Stegostoma tigrinum: one gene and its partner. The protein of the gene in region 1 purifies or fractionates together with the protein of each later gene. This does not show direct contact. Links are inferred from orthologs where the notes say so. Each region holds a gene or a part of one and is shown in the gene's direction. Other genes may lie near its edges.

Region 1 (7,860 bases):
GCAGGTTCAAACAAGCCATTCAGAATGGAAATAGGCTGTTATATGAAAATGAAGAAGATTCAGGAATAGGTAGTGAAGATGAAGAAGATTGTTTATTTAATGACCTGGTGCTGACATGATAGGCCAAATGGCTTCCTTCTGCACAGTCATTATCCTGCTTCTTTGTGTAGATTTCTCTAAGGAGGACAATTCTAGTTTATCTATCCTTTCAGATATGCAAAATCTGACGACAGAATTATTAGAGTGCAAAGCAAGGCCATTCACATGGTGCTGAAAAGTGTGTTGGTGGATCAAGGGATATCACGTGGTGCTGAATGGCATAGTGGGTAAGCATAGGGGTATCACAGGCTACAGGAGGATGTTATGGGTGACCAGAGGCATATCGCAGGGTACAGGAGGATGTGTAGATGTGCAAAGGGGTGTCACAGTGTACAAAAGGGTACGATGGGTGTGCAAAGGGGTGTCACAGCGTACACAAGGACATGATAGGTGTGCAAAGGGATGTCACAGGGTACAGGAGGATGTGACGGGTGAGATTGTCAAGGAGATCAAGGGTTATGGGGAGAATGGGTTGAGAAACTTATCAGCCATGATGGAATGATGGAGCAAACTCGATAGGCTAAATGGCATAACTTCTACTCCAATGTCGTATAGTCTAAAAGGGGTGTCACAGGGTACAGATGGACATAGTGAATGGAGCAAAGGGTGTCAACAGTCTAAGGGTACAAGATAAGCCTTTTAGAACTGAGATTAAATGGCTTTACTACCACACAAAGCAGTTGAGGCCAAAACATCAACTGTTTTCACAGAGGAGTTAGATGCAATTGACAGGGATAAAGGGACCAAAGAGTATGGGGAGAAAGCGTGAACAGAGCATTCAGTTAGACATTCAGCTATCAGAGATAATGGGAACTGCAGATGCTGGAGAATCCAAGATAACAAAGTGTGGAGCTGGATGAACACAGCAGGCCAAGCAGCATCTTAGGAGCACAAAAGCTGACGTTTCGGGCCTAGACCCTTCATCAGAAAAGGGGGAGGGGGAGAGGGTTCTGAAATAAATAGGGAGAGAGGGGGAGGTGGATCAAAGATGGATAGAGGAGAAGATAGGTGGAGAGGAGACAGACAAGTTGAAGGGGCGGGGATGGACCATTTACAGGTGAGTGCAGGTGGGGAGGTAGGGAGGGGATAGGCCAGCCCAGGAGGATTGATAGGTCAAGGGGGCGGATGATGGAGGTGCGGCTTGAGGTGGGAGGAGGGGATAGGTGAGAGGAAGAACAGGTTAGGGAGGTGGGGATGAGCTGGACTGGTTTTGGGATACAGTAGGGGGAGGAGAGATTTTGAAACTTGTGCTATCCACATTGATACCATTGGGCTGCAGGGTTCCCAAGCGGAATATGAGTTGCTGTTCCTGCAACCTTTGGGTGGCATCATTGTGGCACTGCAGGAGGCCCAGGATGGACATGTTGTCTAAGGAATGGGAGGTGGAGTTGAAATGGTTCGCGACTGGGAGGTGCAGTTGTTTATTGCGAACCGAGCGTAGGTGTTCTGCAAAGCGGTCCCCAAACCTCTGCTTGGTTTCCCCGATGTAGAGGAAGCCATAACGGGTACAGTGGATGCAGTATACCACATTAGCAGATATGTAAGTGAACATCTGCTTGATGTGGAAAGCCATCTTGGGGCCTGGGATGTGGTTGAGGGAGAAGGTGTGGGGGCAGGTGTAGCACTTTCTGCCTTTGCAGCGAATGTGCTGGGTGTGGAGGGGTGGGAGGGGAGTGTGGAAGGGCCAAGGGAGTCAAAGAGAGAGTGGTCCCTCTGGAAAGCAGACAAGGGTGGGGATGGAAAAATGTCTTTGGAGGTGGGGTCAGATTGCAGATGGTGGAAGTGTTGGAGGATGATGTGTTGGATCAGGAGGCTGGTGGGGTGGTATGCGAGGATGAAGGGGATTTTATTTTGGCGTTATTGCGGGGGCAGGGTGTGAGGGATGAGCTGCAGGAAATGTGGGAGACACGTTCGAGGGTGTTCTCAACCATTGTGGGGGATAAGTTGTGGTCCTTCAAGAACAAGGACATCTGAGATGTACGGGAGGGGAATGCCTCATCCTGGGACCAGATGCAGCAGAGGCGAAGGAATTGGGAATAGGGGATGGAATTTTTGCAGGAAAGTGGGTGGGAGGAGGTGTATTCTAGGTAGCTGTGGGAGTCGGTGGGCTTGAAATGGGTATCAGTTTCTCGGTAGTTGCTGGAGATGGAGACAGACAGGTCCAGGAAGGCGAGGGATGTGTTGGAGATGGTCCAGGGGAACTTGAGGTTGGGATGGAAGGTGCTGGTGAAGTGGATGAACTGTTTCAGTTCCTCATGGGAGCACGAGGCGGCCCAGTACAGTCATCAATGCAATGGAGGAAGAGGTGGGGTTTGGGGCCAGTGTAGGTGCAGAAGAGGGATTGTTCCACATAACCTCCAAAGAGGCAGGCACAGCTTGTGCCCATATGGGTACCCATGGCCACTGCTTTTGCCTGTAGGAAGTGGGAGGGATCAACAGAGAAGTTGTTGAGGGTGAAGCGGATGAGGGTTTCGGTGGAGAGGGACTGGCTGAGCCTGTGGGACAGGAAGAAGCGGAGGGCCTTTAGGCCATCTGCATGGGGAATGCAGGTGTATAAGGACTGGGCGTCCATGGTGAAAATGAGGTGTTGGGGAACAGAGAATTGGAAGTTCTGGTGGAGGTGGAGGGCGTGGGTGGTGTCACGGACGTAGGTAGGGAGTTCCTGGGCCAAGGAGCAGAAAATGGAGTCCACTTAAGTGGAGGTGAGTTTGGTGCGGCAGGTACAGGCGGAGACAATAGGTCGACCAGGGCAGGCGGGTTTGTGGAATTTGCGAAGGAGACGGAAGCGAGCGGTGTGGGGTTGGGGTACAATGAGTTGGAGGCTATGTATAGGAGGTCACCTGAGGTGATGAGGTTGTGGATGGTTTGGGAGATGACGATTTGGTGCTCAGGGGTGGGGTCATGATCCAGGGAGCGGTAGGAGGAGGTGTCAGAGAGCTGGCATCTGGCCTCAACTTGTCTATCTCCTCTCCACCTATTTTCTCCTTTATCCATCTTCGATCCACCTCCCCACTCCCTATTTATTTCAGAACCCTCTCCCCCTCCCCCTTTTCTGATGAAGTGTCTACGCCCGAAATGTCAGCCTTTGTGCTCCTAGGATGCTGTGTTCATCCAGCCCCACACTTTGTTATCTTAGACATCCAGCTATGCCTACAATGAATGGCTGACTCCGTGTTTCCGTACATCACGTGGCATCGAAGGGGAAATCGTGCTTGACTAATCTTCTGGAATTTTTTGAGGATGTATCTATGAAGATGGACAAGGGAGAACCAGTGGATGTAGTGTACCTGGACTTTCAGAAAGCCTTTGATAAAATCCCACATAGGAGATTGGTGAACAAAATTAGGGCACATGGTATTGGGGGCAAAATACTGAGTTGGATTGAAAATTGGATGGCTGACAGGAAGCAAAGAGTAGTGATAAACGGGTCCCTTTTGGAATGGCAGGCAGTGACCAGTGGGGTACCACAAGGTTCGGTACTGGGACCGCAGCTGTTTACGACATATATTAATGATATAGACGAAGGCATTAAAAGTAATATTAGCAAATTTGCTGATGACACAAAACTGGGTGGCAATGTGAAATGTGAGGAGGATGTTATTAGAATACAGGGTGACTTGGACAGACTAGGTGAGTGGACGGATGCATGGCAGATGCAGTTTAATGTGGATAAATGTGTGGTTATCCACTTTGGTGGCAAGAACAGGAAGGCAGATTACTATCTCAATGGAGTCAAGTTAGGTAAAGGGGAAGCACAACGAGATCTGGGTGTTCTTGTACATCAGTCAGCGAAAGCAAGCATGCAGGTACAGCAGGCAGTGAAGAAAGCTAATGGCATGCTGGCCTTCATAACAAGAGGAATTGAGTATAGGAGCAAAGAGGTCCTTCTGCAGCTGTACAGGGCCCTGGTGAGACCGCACCTGGAGTATTGTGTGCAGTTTTGGTCTCCAAGTTTAAGGATATTCTTGCTATTGAGGGAGTGCAGTGTAGGTTCACGAGGTCAATTCCCAGAATGGCGGGACTATTGTATGTTGCAAGATTGGAGCGACTGGGCTTGTACACACTTGAGTTTAGAAGGATGAGGGGGGATCTGATTGAGACATATAAGGTTATTAAGGGATTGGACACTGTGGAGGCAGGAAGCATGTTTCCGCTGATGGGTGAGTCCAGAACGAGAGGACACAGTTTAAAAATAAGGGGTAGGCCATTTAGAACTGAGTTGAGGAAAAACTTCTTCACTCAGAGCGTGGTGGATATATGGAATGCTGTGCCCAGAAGGCAGTGGAGGCCAACTCTCTGGACACTTTCAAGAAGGAGATGGATAGAGCTCTTAAAGATAGTGGAATCAAGGGTTACTGGGATAAGGCAGGACCAGGATACTGATTGTGGATGATCGGCCATAATCATAATGAATGGTGGTGCTGGCTCGATAGGGCCGAATGGCCTACTACAGCACCTATTGTCTATTGTCTGTCTGCAAGGGGCCGAACGTGCCACACCACGTGGTACATAAGGGGCGTGACAAATAAAGGCAACTGTCTTCGCTCGCGCACCCATTCAAACGGGCTTCCAACCGCCGCCCGACCTCGCGGGCGCGCTTCGCCTCCTCAGTCACGCGCCGCGGGAACGTGAATTACGTCGGTGCGTGCGTGCGCGCGCGATTTTGCGGACACGCGCGCCGCTTTTTCTCCCTCTCACTCTCACAGTGACGGACGGCGCCGAGCTTCTCAGGGGTTCCGAACCCATGTAACTTATTTATGATCAAAATTTTAACCTCCCGATTCCCCCTCCCACCCAAGACTTTTTATTTAAATTTTCCTTTTCACCTCAACACCCTGTCTGATAATTTTTAAAAAAAAAACCGTTCCCGATAGTTATGGATAATAAGGCGTTCACCAAGGAGCTGGACGATTGGATCGAGCAGCTGAACGAGTGCAAGCAACTCAACGAGAACCAAGTGCGGACCCTCTGCGAGAAGGTATGTGGGGAGCGCCAAGGCCAACAGTTTTATTCTCGATGCGATTTCAGACAGAATCCCCGCCTGGGTTTAAGCGACAGAGTCGGCCTTTCCGCCGCTGCCAAATAGTGAGACCAGTGGCTCGGCCGCTCTCCCCGGCTCGGCTCGGCTCCGCCCCACCCGCCTGACCGGGCGGAACTTCCGGTCCGGTGCCACTTCCGCTCAGGGGGCGGGTCCAAGGTGGAGCTTTATATGCCCTCAAAGCCCTCTTCATCGCCTCTTTCCCCCCCCCAACTCTCTCTTCATCCATATCCGCCCCTCCCTCCTTTCATCCCAGTCCCCGGACTTACTTGCCCCATTCCAGCTCCACCCCATCCTCCTCCTTTTTCATGTGTTCCAGCTGCCCTGACTCTTCTTGCAGGAAGTTGTAGACTTTGACATGTGATTGAATCTTACAGCCTGGATAAAGCCCCTTCAGCTCGATGTGCCCGCACTGTTTGCCAAGCATCTCCAGCACCTTTCCTGTCGTCTTGTATACATACCATGGCGTTTTAAACGCTCATCATTTACCTGATACAGAGGCATTGACTTAGTAGGAGCGCTTCAGTAGGTTTGGGCCTGTACTGGTTGGAATTTAGAAAAATGGGAGGCAATAGTTTTGAAGCATAAAAGATTCTTGGAAGACTTGACAGAGTAGATGTCGAAAGGTTGTTTCCCCTTGTGGTAGGGTTAAAGGGATTGATCTTAAAAGAAATCGTCACACATTTAAAGTGGGTTGAGGAGGAATTTCTTCTATGCAGTTAAGTAAGAATCTTGGCATTCTTTACCACAAAGACCTATTGAGACTGAGTTAGGTTTATTCAATGCTGAGACAGATTTTTAATTTATGAGTAAAAGGTGGGAAAGTGGAGACAATGATTCACATAAACCTGATCTGATTGAATGGAGGCGGAGACATGATGGTTTGAATATGTTTCTTCTGCTTTGTCATGAGGTCGGTTAGCTCAGTTGGCAGACTGGATTGTGGCAAAGTGTGACATCAGTGCTACGTCCAATTTTCATGTCACCTGAGGTTATGATGGACTCTCGTTCTCAGTCTCTTTGCTTGTCTGAGGCATGATGGCCTCTAATAAGGTGCTCTACTAAGACTGTGTAATGTCAAGAGTTCTCTACCACTCTTGTGACTTTTTCATCCCCCTTCTCCCAATACAAGTGCAACAGGCCTTGAATTTATGAATATTCTATCAAATGCAGTCAAAAAAGGTGTAATTTTTAAAGATCTGACAGATGTAGGAATCTTTCCTGTACTTATGAGTGGCTAGTTTTATATTTCCTGCATTGCGTTCTGACATGCATACAAATCAAACTGAGTGGACTCCACGTGGAACTTTTTTGCAACTGGGGTCTGCCTGTATTTAGACACAGTCTCAGTATGCCTCAATCTCTTTATTATTCCACACAGCAGCATCTCTTGCTTCTTTGCCACACTGTCGCAGCCTCTCCCATGGTCAGTTTTAACCATGCCATAAAGTATTTTGCTGTAAAATGACAGCAGACATAAAGCAGGACTAGGCCATTCAGCCCTTCATCCTGCTTTGGCATGCAAAAAGTCTTTCTTCATTCTATCTCCCTGCCTGCACTGTGAAACTGTTAACTCCCTTGTTTATCGAAAATCTAACTTAATCTTGAATAATTTCACTCCACTCTTTGAAGAGAATTTACAGACTAACAACCCATCACTTTAGACTGATACCTACATAGAACATAGAACCTAACAGCACAGCACAGTACAGGCCCTTTGGCCCTCGATGTTGTGCCGACCTGTCATACCGATCTGAAGCCCATCTAACCTACACTATTCCATGAACGTCCATATGCTTGTCCAATGATGACTTAAATGTACTTAAAGTTGGCAAATCTGCTACCATTGCAGGCAAGGTGTTCCATTCCCTTACCACTCTGAGTAAAGAAACTATTTCTGACATCTGTCCTATATCTTTCACACCTCAATTTAAAGCTATGCCCCCTCGTGCTCGCCGTCACTATCCTAGGAAAAAGGCTCTCCCTATCCACCCTATCTAACCCTCTGATTATTTTATATGTTTCAATTAAGTCACCTCTCAACCTTCTTCTCTCTAACGAAAAAAGCCTCCAGTCCCTCAGCTTTTCCTCATAAGACCTTCCCACCATACCAGGCAACATCCTAGTAAATCTCCTCTGCACCCTTTCCAAAGCTTCCACGTCCTTTTTATAATGCGGTGACCAGAACTGTACGCAATACTCCAAGTGTGGCCACACCAGAGTTTTGTACAGCTGCAGCATGACCGCTTGGTTCTGGAACTCGATCCCTCTATGAATAAAAACTAAAACACTGTATGCCTTCTTAACAGCCCTGTCAACCTGGGTGGCAACTTTCAAGGATCTGTGTACATGGACACCGAGATCTCTCTGCTCATCTACACTACCAAGAATCTTACCATTAGCCCAGTACTTTGCCCTCCAGTTACTCCTACCAAAGTGCATCACCTCACACTTGTCTGCATTAAACTCCATTTGCCACCTCTCAGCCCAGCTCTGCAGCTTATCTATGTCTCTCAGCAACCTACAGCATCCTTCGTCACTATTACCTTAATTAGATTAAATCATAATTTGCTGTTTCAGTCACGGTTTTAAAAACAAAAGGGTCCCAAGAACAGTTTTGCTCATGAGGAAAACATTAGAATGTCTCTCAATTCTGGAATACTTTATGTCCTAAAGATTAAAGAAACTAAAGTTTAGAACAAGGTGTAAGAAGCATGTGTTCC
Region 2 (7,356 bases), on another chromosome or scaffold:
GTAGAGACATAGAAACATAGAAAATAGGAGCAGGAGTAGGCCCTTTGGCCCATCAAACCTGATCTGTCATTCATGATGATCATGCTGATTATCCAACTCAATAACCTGTTTCTGCTTTCCCCCATACATCATTTTATGCCTTCAGCCCCAAGTTCTATCCTTCCCTGAAATCATACAAAGTTTGCCTCCACTGCTTTCTGTGGCCATGAAGTCCACAGACTCACCGCTCTCTGGATGAAGAAATGTCTCCTCACCTGAGTGCTAAATGGTTTACCCCACATCCCCAGATTGAAATCCCTGATTCTGGACTTCCTGGTTATTGGTAACATTGTCCCAGCATCTAACCTTTATAGCCTTGTTAGAATTTTAAGCCTTCGCTGAGATCCACCTTCATTCTTCTGAATTCCAGCAAATGTAATCTATTCAGTTCCTCATATATCAGTCCCAACATTTGGAATTCTACCAGAATTAATCTGGCGAGATAGGAAGAATTGCCAATGCTGGAGTCAGAGATAACACAGTGTGGAGCTGGAGGAACACAGCAGGCCAGGCAGCACCAGAGGAACAGGAAAACTGACGGCTCCTTTCCTGCTCCTCTGATGCTGCCTGGCCTGCTGTGTTCCTCCATCTCCACACTGTGTTATCTCTGAATTAATCTGGTAATCCTTTGCTGTACTTCCTCTATGTCAAGAATGTTCTTCCTCAGATAAGGAGATCAAAACTGCACACAATATTCCACTCGCCATCCATTGGCTCCATCTATATTTCTCCCTGCCTCGGAACAGCAGCCAACATAATCAAAGACCCCTCCCACCTTGGTTATAATCTCTTCCAACCTCCTTCATTGGTCAGAAAATACAAAAACTTAAACACATTTACTGACAGATTCACGAACAATTTCTTCTCCCTGTTAGTAGACTTCTGAATGGGCCTCTCAAGTTTCAAATTTAATGTTCTTTGTGCACTTTCTCTACAGCTGAAACATTATATTCCTCAGTCTTTGTATGTCATGATCTGCTGGTGTGCACGCTAAACTTCTCACTGTATCTAGGTACACATGACAATAATAAATCAAATCAAATCACCAAGGTTCTGTATAATTGCAGCAAGACAGCCGTGCTCCAGTACTCGAATCCTCTCGCTATGAAGGCCAACATAACATTTGCCTTCTTCACCTCCTGCTGCACTTGCATGCCTGAAGCATTAACTCTGATTTTTTTCCTTCACAGACGCTGCCAGGCCTGCTGAGCTTTTCCGGCAACTTCTGATTTTATTCCTGATTTTTACTCACCTTCAGTGACTGGTGTACAAGTCAGGCCAGGTCTCAATTCCATTCTCTCAATATAATAGCCATTCAGACAATAATCTGCCTTCTTGTATTTGTTCCCAAAGTGCATAACCTCTCACTTGCCCACATTATAAGGCATCTGTCATGCATTTGTTAACTCATTTAGACAGGGATTAATAAAGAATGCAATATTCCAGGCTTCATTAATACAGGTGTAGAGAACAAGGGTAAGGAAGTTATAATGAACCTGTAAGAAACACTGCTTAGACCTCAGCTGGAATATTGTGTATAGATCTGGGTTCCAAACTACAGAACACAGAACATAGAACAGTGCAGCACAGTACAGACTCTTTGGCCCACGATGTTGTGCTGACCTATTATCCTACAAGGATCAAACTACCCTGCATCCCTACATTTTACTATCCTCCTTGCGCCTATTCAAGAGTTGCTGAAAAGTCTCAAAAGTGTCTGATTCCACTACCACTACCAGCAGCACATTCCACACGCCCACCACTCTCTGTGTGAAGAACCTACCTCTGACATCTCCCCTGTACCTTCCTCCAATCACCTTAAAATTATGCCCCCTCATAGAAGTTATTTCCGCCCTGGGAAAAAGTCCCTGACTATACACCCTATCTATGTCTCTCATCATCTTGTATGCCTCTATCAAGTAAACTCTTGACCTTCTTCACTCTAATGATCAAAGCCCTAGCTCCCTCAACCTTTCCTCATAAGACCTGCCCCCTCCCATCCAGGCAGCATCCTGGTAAATCTCCTCTGCACCCTCTCTAAAGCTTCCACATTCTTCCTGCAATGAGGTGACCAGAATTGAACACAATATTCCAACTGTGGTCCAAGCTGAGTTTTATAGAGCTGCAGCATATCCACATGGCTCTTAAAGTCAATTCCCCTGCCAGCGAAAGCCTATACACCATACACCTTCTTTTCAATCCTTGGGTCGCAACTTTAAGGGATCTATGGACATGGACCCCAAAATCCCTCTGTTCCTCCACACTGATGAGAATCCTGCCATTTACCCTGTATTCTGCATTCAAATTCAACCTTCCAAAATGAATCACTTCACCCTTTTCTGGTTGGATTCTATCTGCCACTTCTTTGCCCAGCTCTGTATCCTGTCGATGTCCCATTGCAACCTACAACAGCCCCCCATGCTGTCCACAACTCCACCAACAGGAAGGATGTGAGCACATTTGAGAAAGCACAGAAGAGTTTTCCAAGGATGGTGTCAGCGATGAGGTTAAATGGAGAAGTTCGGACTAATTTCCGTGGAAAGGGAGAAAGCTGAGGGGAGATTTCATGGGAAATTTTTAACATCATCCGGTCAGAATAAGTCAGGAGAAAATGTTCCCACACATAAACAGATTGAGAACCAGAGAGCACAGTTTTAAAGTGTTTTGCAAACTAAGCAAATGCAAGGTGAGAAATATCTTTTTCACTTAGCAAATGTCTGGAAATGTCACGGAAACAGATTCTGTTGAGGCATTTGGGATCACATTAAATGTTTGCTTGCCATAGTCCATGTAGGTGCCAGCAGCCTGGGTTCAGTTCCTCTACTGTATTTTGTTCAGAAGAAACTGACGTGGAGGAGGGATGTGTTAGCATTGAAGCGTGTGTAGAGGAGATTTCCCAGGGTGTTACATGGGCTGGACAATTTCAATTTTCAAGAGAGATTGAACAAATGGAGGTGGTTTTCCTTTGAGCAGAAAAAATATTGAGCAGGAACATGATTGAGATGAATAAATTTATAAGGGGCATAGATAGGTTACCAGGAAGAAATGTTACCTCTTGATGGGGGGGGCCATTGACCACAGAGTGTAGATTTGAGGTAAGGGGCAGAAGGTTTAGAGGATACGTGAGAAAGAAACTTTTTCACTAAGATGGTGGCAGGAAGCTGGATCTTATTCCTGTAGGAGTGGTAGATGTAGAAACCCCTGTAATATTAAAGAAGTATTCAGATATGCAGTTGTGATGCCAAGGCATATAAGGGTCATTAGTCCCAAAAGGGTCCACAGAACTCATGATCAGAGACACAGAATTTTCTAAGTGGACAATCATCTGAAGGTTTTGGAGTAGATTTGTACCTCGGGTTGTGGGTGTTGAGGTTGGTTGTCTTGGTGAGCTGGTTTCTAAACAAGAGCCCAACTCGGCGAGCCAACTCACCTCACGATAATCTGAAGATTGCAGGAACATCACCTCCCTGGACTGACTTATTCCCTCCCTAATGCCCCAGCTACACTCACCTTCACTGGCTCCATACCTGCCTCTTTGACCTGTCTGTCTCCTCTCCACCTATCTGCTCCTTTATCCATCTTCTATCTGCCTCCCCCTCTCTCCCTATTTATTTCAAAATCCCCTTCCCTGCCCCTATTTCTGAAGAAGGGCCTGGACCCGAAACGTCAGCTTCCCTGCTCCTCTGATGCTCCTTGGCCTGCTGTGTTCATCCAGCTCCACACCTTGTTATCTCAGATTCTCCAGCATCAGTAGTTCCTACTATCTCAGGACAATCATCCTCTTTTGTGAGTGATTGTCACTAATGAAGAGCATGAAAACACTCCTTCTCACCCTTGCCCCTCATCTGAGGCACTGAGACCCTAAGGTTAAACCACCGTAATTCAGCTCTCTCTGTGATCTGAGAGCAACTCTAAGGGACATTGGCAACTTCTTGAAGGAGTAACCCTCCTCCCTCCAGATCTGCAGTTCCTACTATCTCGGCAACGTTATTTATTTGGTGACCAAATGATTACTTAAATAGAAACAAAGTGCAAGGAAATGGTGAAAATGCCGGAGATTGGCAATGATCTCACGGGGCTCATTGAACTGCTGGCGACAGGATGGGCTGAACAGCCTCTTCGCTTCTGACAGAGGAGGAATCTCCCGGGGCGGAGCCAAGGGGGGATGGGTGGGGCCAAGAGGTGGGTGGGGCCTGCAGCAACGGCTGGGTACGTGGGCGGAGCCAGGGACGAGGAGGGGCGGGGCACGGCATGCGCGAGGTGGCGGCGCACGGTGGGTGCGCGCGCGTGCGCGCTGCAGGTCGCGGGAGAGTGCGCGGACATTTTGTCGGGGTCGCGGACGCCGTGCCGGTTGGAAGCGGGAGATGTGAGGAAGCCGGGCCTCGGGACAGGGATAGCAGAGGGACACGGCAGGCTGTGCCGGTGTGTGTGAGATCCGGGACCGTGTGTACATTTACCGACTACCGAGGATCCTGTGTGGAGCCTGGGCCCCGGCCTGCCTCAGCTCTCAGGCCGCTGTTGTTCCCTGAGTCGGGGTCAGTGTTCCCCTTGGCCTGGGGAGAGTAGGCCTCCCCTCGGCCCCCGGCTTCATATCCAGCACCGGCCCACCATGATGTGCGAGGTGATGCCGACCATCAGCGAGGACACGCTGAGCCCCCGGGGCTCGCAGTGCGGCGCCGACACCGAGGCCAACTTCGAGCAGCTGATGGTGAACATGCTGGATGAGCGGGACAAGCTGCTGGAGAGCCTCCGGGAGAGCCAGGAGGCACTGGCCCTGTGTCAGGCCAAGATGCAGGAGGCCTTCCATGAGAGGGACTCGCTTCAGAGGCAGCTCAACACCGCCCTACCTCAGGTAGGGGACGCGGGGGCCAGGTTTACCCAGAACCCCACCTTCACCGCCTCCACCAGACCCCTGCTTTCCCCTTCACACCCTCCACCAGACCCCCCCTTTCCCCTTCACCCCCCCCTTCCACCAGACGCCCCCCCTTCACCCCGTCCACCAGACGCCCCCCCTTCACCCCGTCCACCAGACGCCCCCCCTTCACCCCGTCCACCAGACGCTCCCCCCTTCTCCCCCTCCACCAGGCGCTCCCCCCTTCTCCCCCTCCACCAGGCGCTCCCCCCTTCTCCCCCTCCCCCCTTCTCCCCCTCCCCCCTTCTCCCCCTCCCCCCTTCTCCCCCTCCCCCCTTCTCCCCCTCCACCAGGCGCTCCCACCTTCTCCCCCTCCACCAGGCGCTCCCACCTTCTCCCCCTCCACCAGGCGCTCCCACCTTCTCCCCCTCCACCAGGCGCTCCCCCCTTCTCCCCCTCCACCAGGCGCCCCCCCCTTCTCCCCCTCCACCAGGTGCCCCCCCTCCAACCAGGCGCCCCCCCTTCGCCCCCCCCCTCCACCAGACGCCCCCCCCCTCCACCAGGTGCCCCCCTTCGCCCCCCCCCCCTCCGCCCCCCCCCCTCCACCAGACGCCCCCCCCTCCACCAGGCGCCCCCCCTCGCCCCCGCCCCCCACCTCCACCAGGCGCCCCCCCCTTCACCCCCTCCACCAGGCGCCCCCCCCCTTCACCCCCCTCCACCAGGCACCCCCCCTCCACCAGGCGCCCCCCCCTTCACCCCCTCAACCAGGCGCCCCCCCCCTTCACTCCCTCCACCAGGCGCCCCCCCCCTTCACCCCCTCCACCAGGCGCCCCCCCTCCACCAGGCGCCCCCCCCTTCACCCCCTTCACCCCCTCCACCAGGCGCGCCCCCCCTTCACCCCCTCCACCAGGCGCGCCCCCCCCTTCACCCCCTCCACCAGGCGCGCCCCCCCCTTCACCCCCTCCACCAGGCGCGCCCCCCCCTTCACCCCCTCCACCAGGCGCGCCCCCCCCTTCACCCCCTCCACCAGGCGCGCCCCCCCCTTCACCCCCTCCACCAGGCGCCTCCCCCACTTCAGCACCTCCACCAGGCGCCCCCCCCCTTCAGCCCCTCCACCAGGCGGCCCCCCTCCCCCCCTCCACCTCCTCCACCAGGCCCCCCCCCTCCACCAGGCGCCCCCCCCCCCCCACCAGGCGCCCCCCCCCCTTCACCCCCTCCAGCCCCTCAACCAGTCCCCATGTTCCCCCTCCACCCCCTCAACCAGTCCCCGTGTCCCCCCCCCACCGTTCCCCTTCGCGCCTTCAACCAAATCCTCCCGGTTCCCCTTCGCCTTGTGAGGCCGCCCTCACTCCATCAAACTACCCCACTCCTTCAACCGACCTCTCTGTTTCATCCCAACCCCATCTGCTGAACCAACAATCCACACCACCCCCCTATCTTCACCCCTGTACTAGACTCTATCACCTACCCAACCCTCACGCAGGCTCTAATCAACACCACCCCTGACACTCAACCAGCCTGTAACCAAGAACCCCATCCATCACCCTGATCCTCTCCCCTCAATTCTTGTTGCCCACCTCGATTTCCCCCCTCAGGTCACCGCATTCCCTTTTCTTCCCTGTGCCACCTTCGCGCTGTCATGTGTGGTCTTTCTCTCTCTCTCTCTCTTTTTCTCTCTCTCTCTCTCGCGCGCGTGCTCTCGCTCTCTCTCCCTCTCCCTATCCTCCTGATACTGTACTTTCCACAAAGCTGCAGGATGAAAAGCTGAGCGCTTTGGTTTCATAAAACAAAATCGTCTTTTTTTTTCTTAAACTTGTCCAAATGCTTCAAGAAGGGAACCTTGTCTCCGCTAGTTGTAGATCATTTTGCTGTTCCATTTTTTGGCCACTTTGTTTGTTTCTCTGTAGATCATCTTCCCCCTCCACACCCACAACTATCCTGGCCTAAGGCTGCTTTTTGCAAATTCATGGAGTAGGTCTTCATTTCTGTTGGAGCTATATCCTATCACTGTCACAATACAAAATATTTTAATGCTTATTTTTATTACATACATTTTCGACAAATGTTTGGTGGAGTGGTGACACTGATTCTCAATATTTTGAGAGAATCTGTAAAATCTGAAGTGAGATGTCAGTCTGGCAGGTATTGAGTGTTATGATGTGCTTTCCTCATGGTGACACAGTTAAGGTTATAGCTCACCCCTAAACTTTTGAGGAAACTGTTTATTACTAAAAATGCATTGTTGATAAGAGTGCTACTTGCCTTCAAGGAAGATTTGATGATCTGACATTTCAGTGCTGTTGTCTTGGGCTGCTGATCATGTACTTGCATAATCAGATTAAGAAGTGTTCCCAGTTTTTTGGTGAAATGTTTGCATATTTTGGATTTGCTTCCGTTTATTGTGTAATAATATTACTAATGAATCCTTAAAATAGTTAAATTGAACAGGCTACACAGATGATGTA

What was found.
Region 2: the proteins of ppp2cb (region 1) and liprin-alpha-1-like purify together in Homo sapiens (affinity purification with mass spectrometry; 4 studies listed by BioGRID and IntAct, counting the BioPlex papers as one, with this or other methods). This does not show direct contact. The link is inferred for Stegostoma tigrinum from reciprocal best matches to the Homo sapiens genes PPP2CB and PPFIA1.

What each region holds. Positions count from the first base shown.
Region 1 is NC_081354.1:12,436,431-12,444,290, reverse strand, and holds the start of ppp2cb (serine/threonine-protein phosphatase 2A catalytic subunit beta isoform), read left to right. Parts: upstream 1-4,768; 5' UTR 4,769-4,975; coding exon 4,976-5,077; intron 5,078-7,860.
Region 2 is NC_081370.1:62,702,789-62,710,144, forward strand, and holds the start of liprin-alpha-1-like, read left to right. Parts: upstream 1-4,344; 5' UTR 4,345-4,648; coding exon 4,649-4,891; intron 4,892-7,356. UniProt on the Homo sapiens protein: May regulate the disassembly of focal adhesions. May localize receptor-like tyrosine phosphatases type 2A at specific sites on the plasma membrane, possibly regulating their interaction with the extracellular environment and their association with substrates.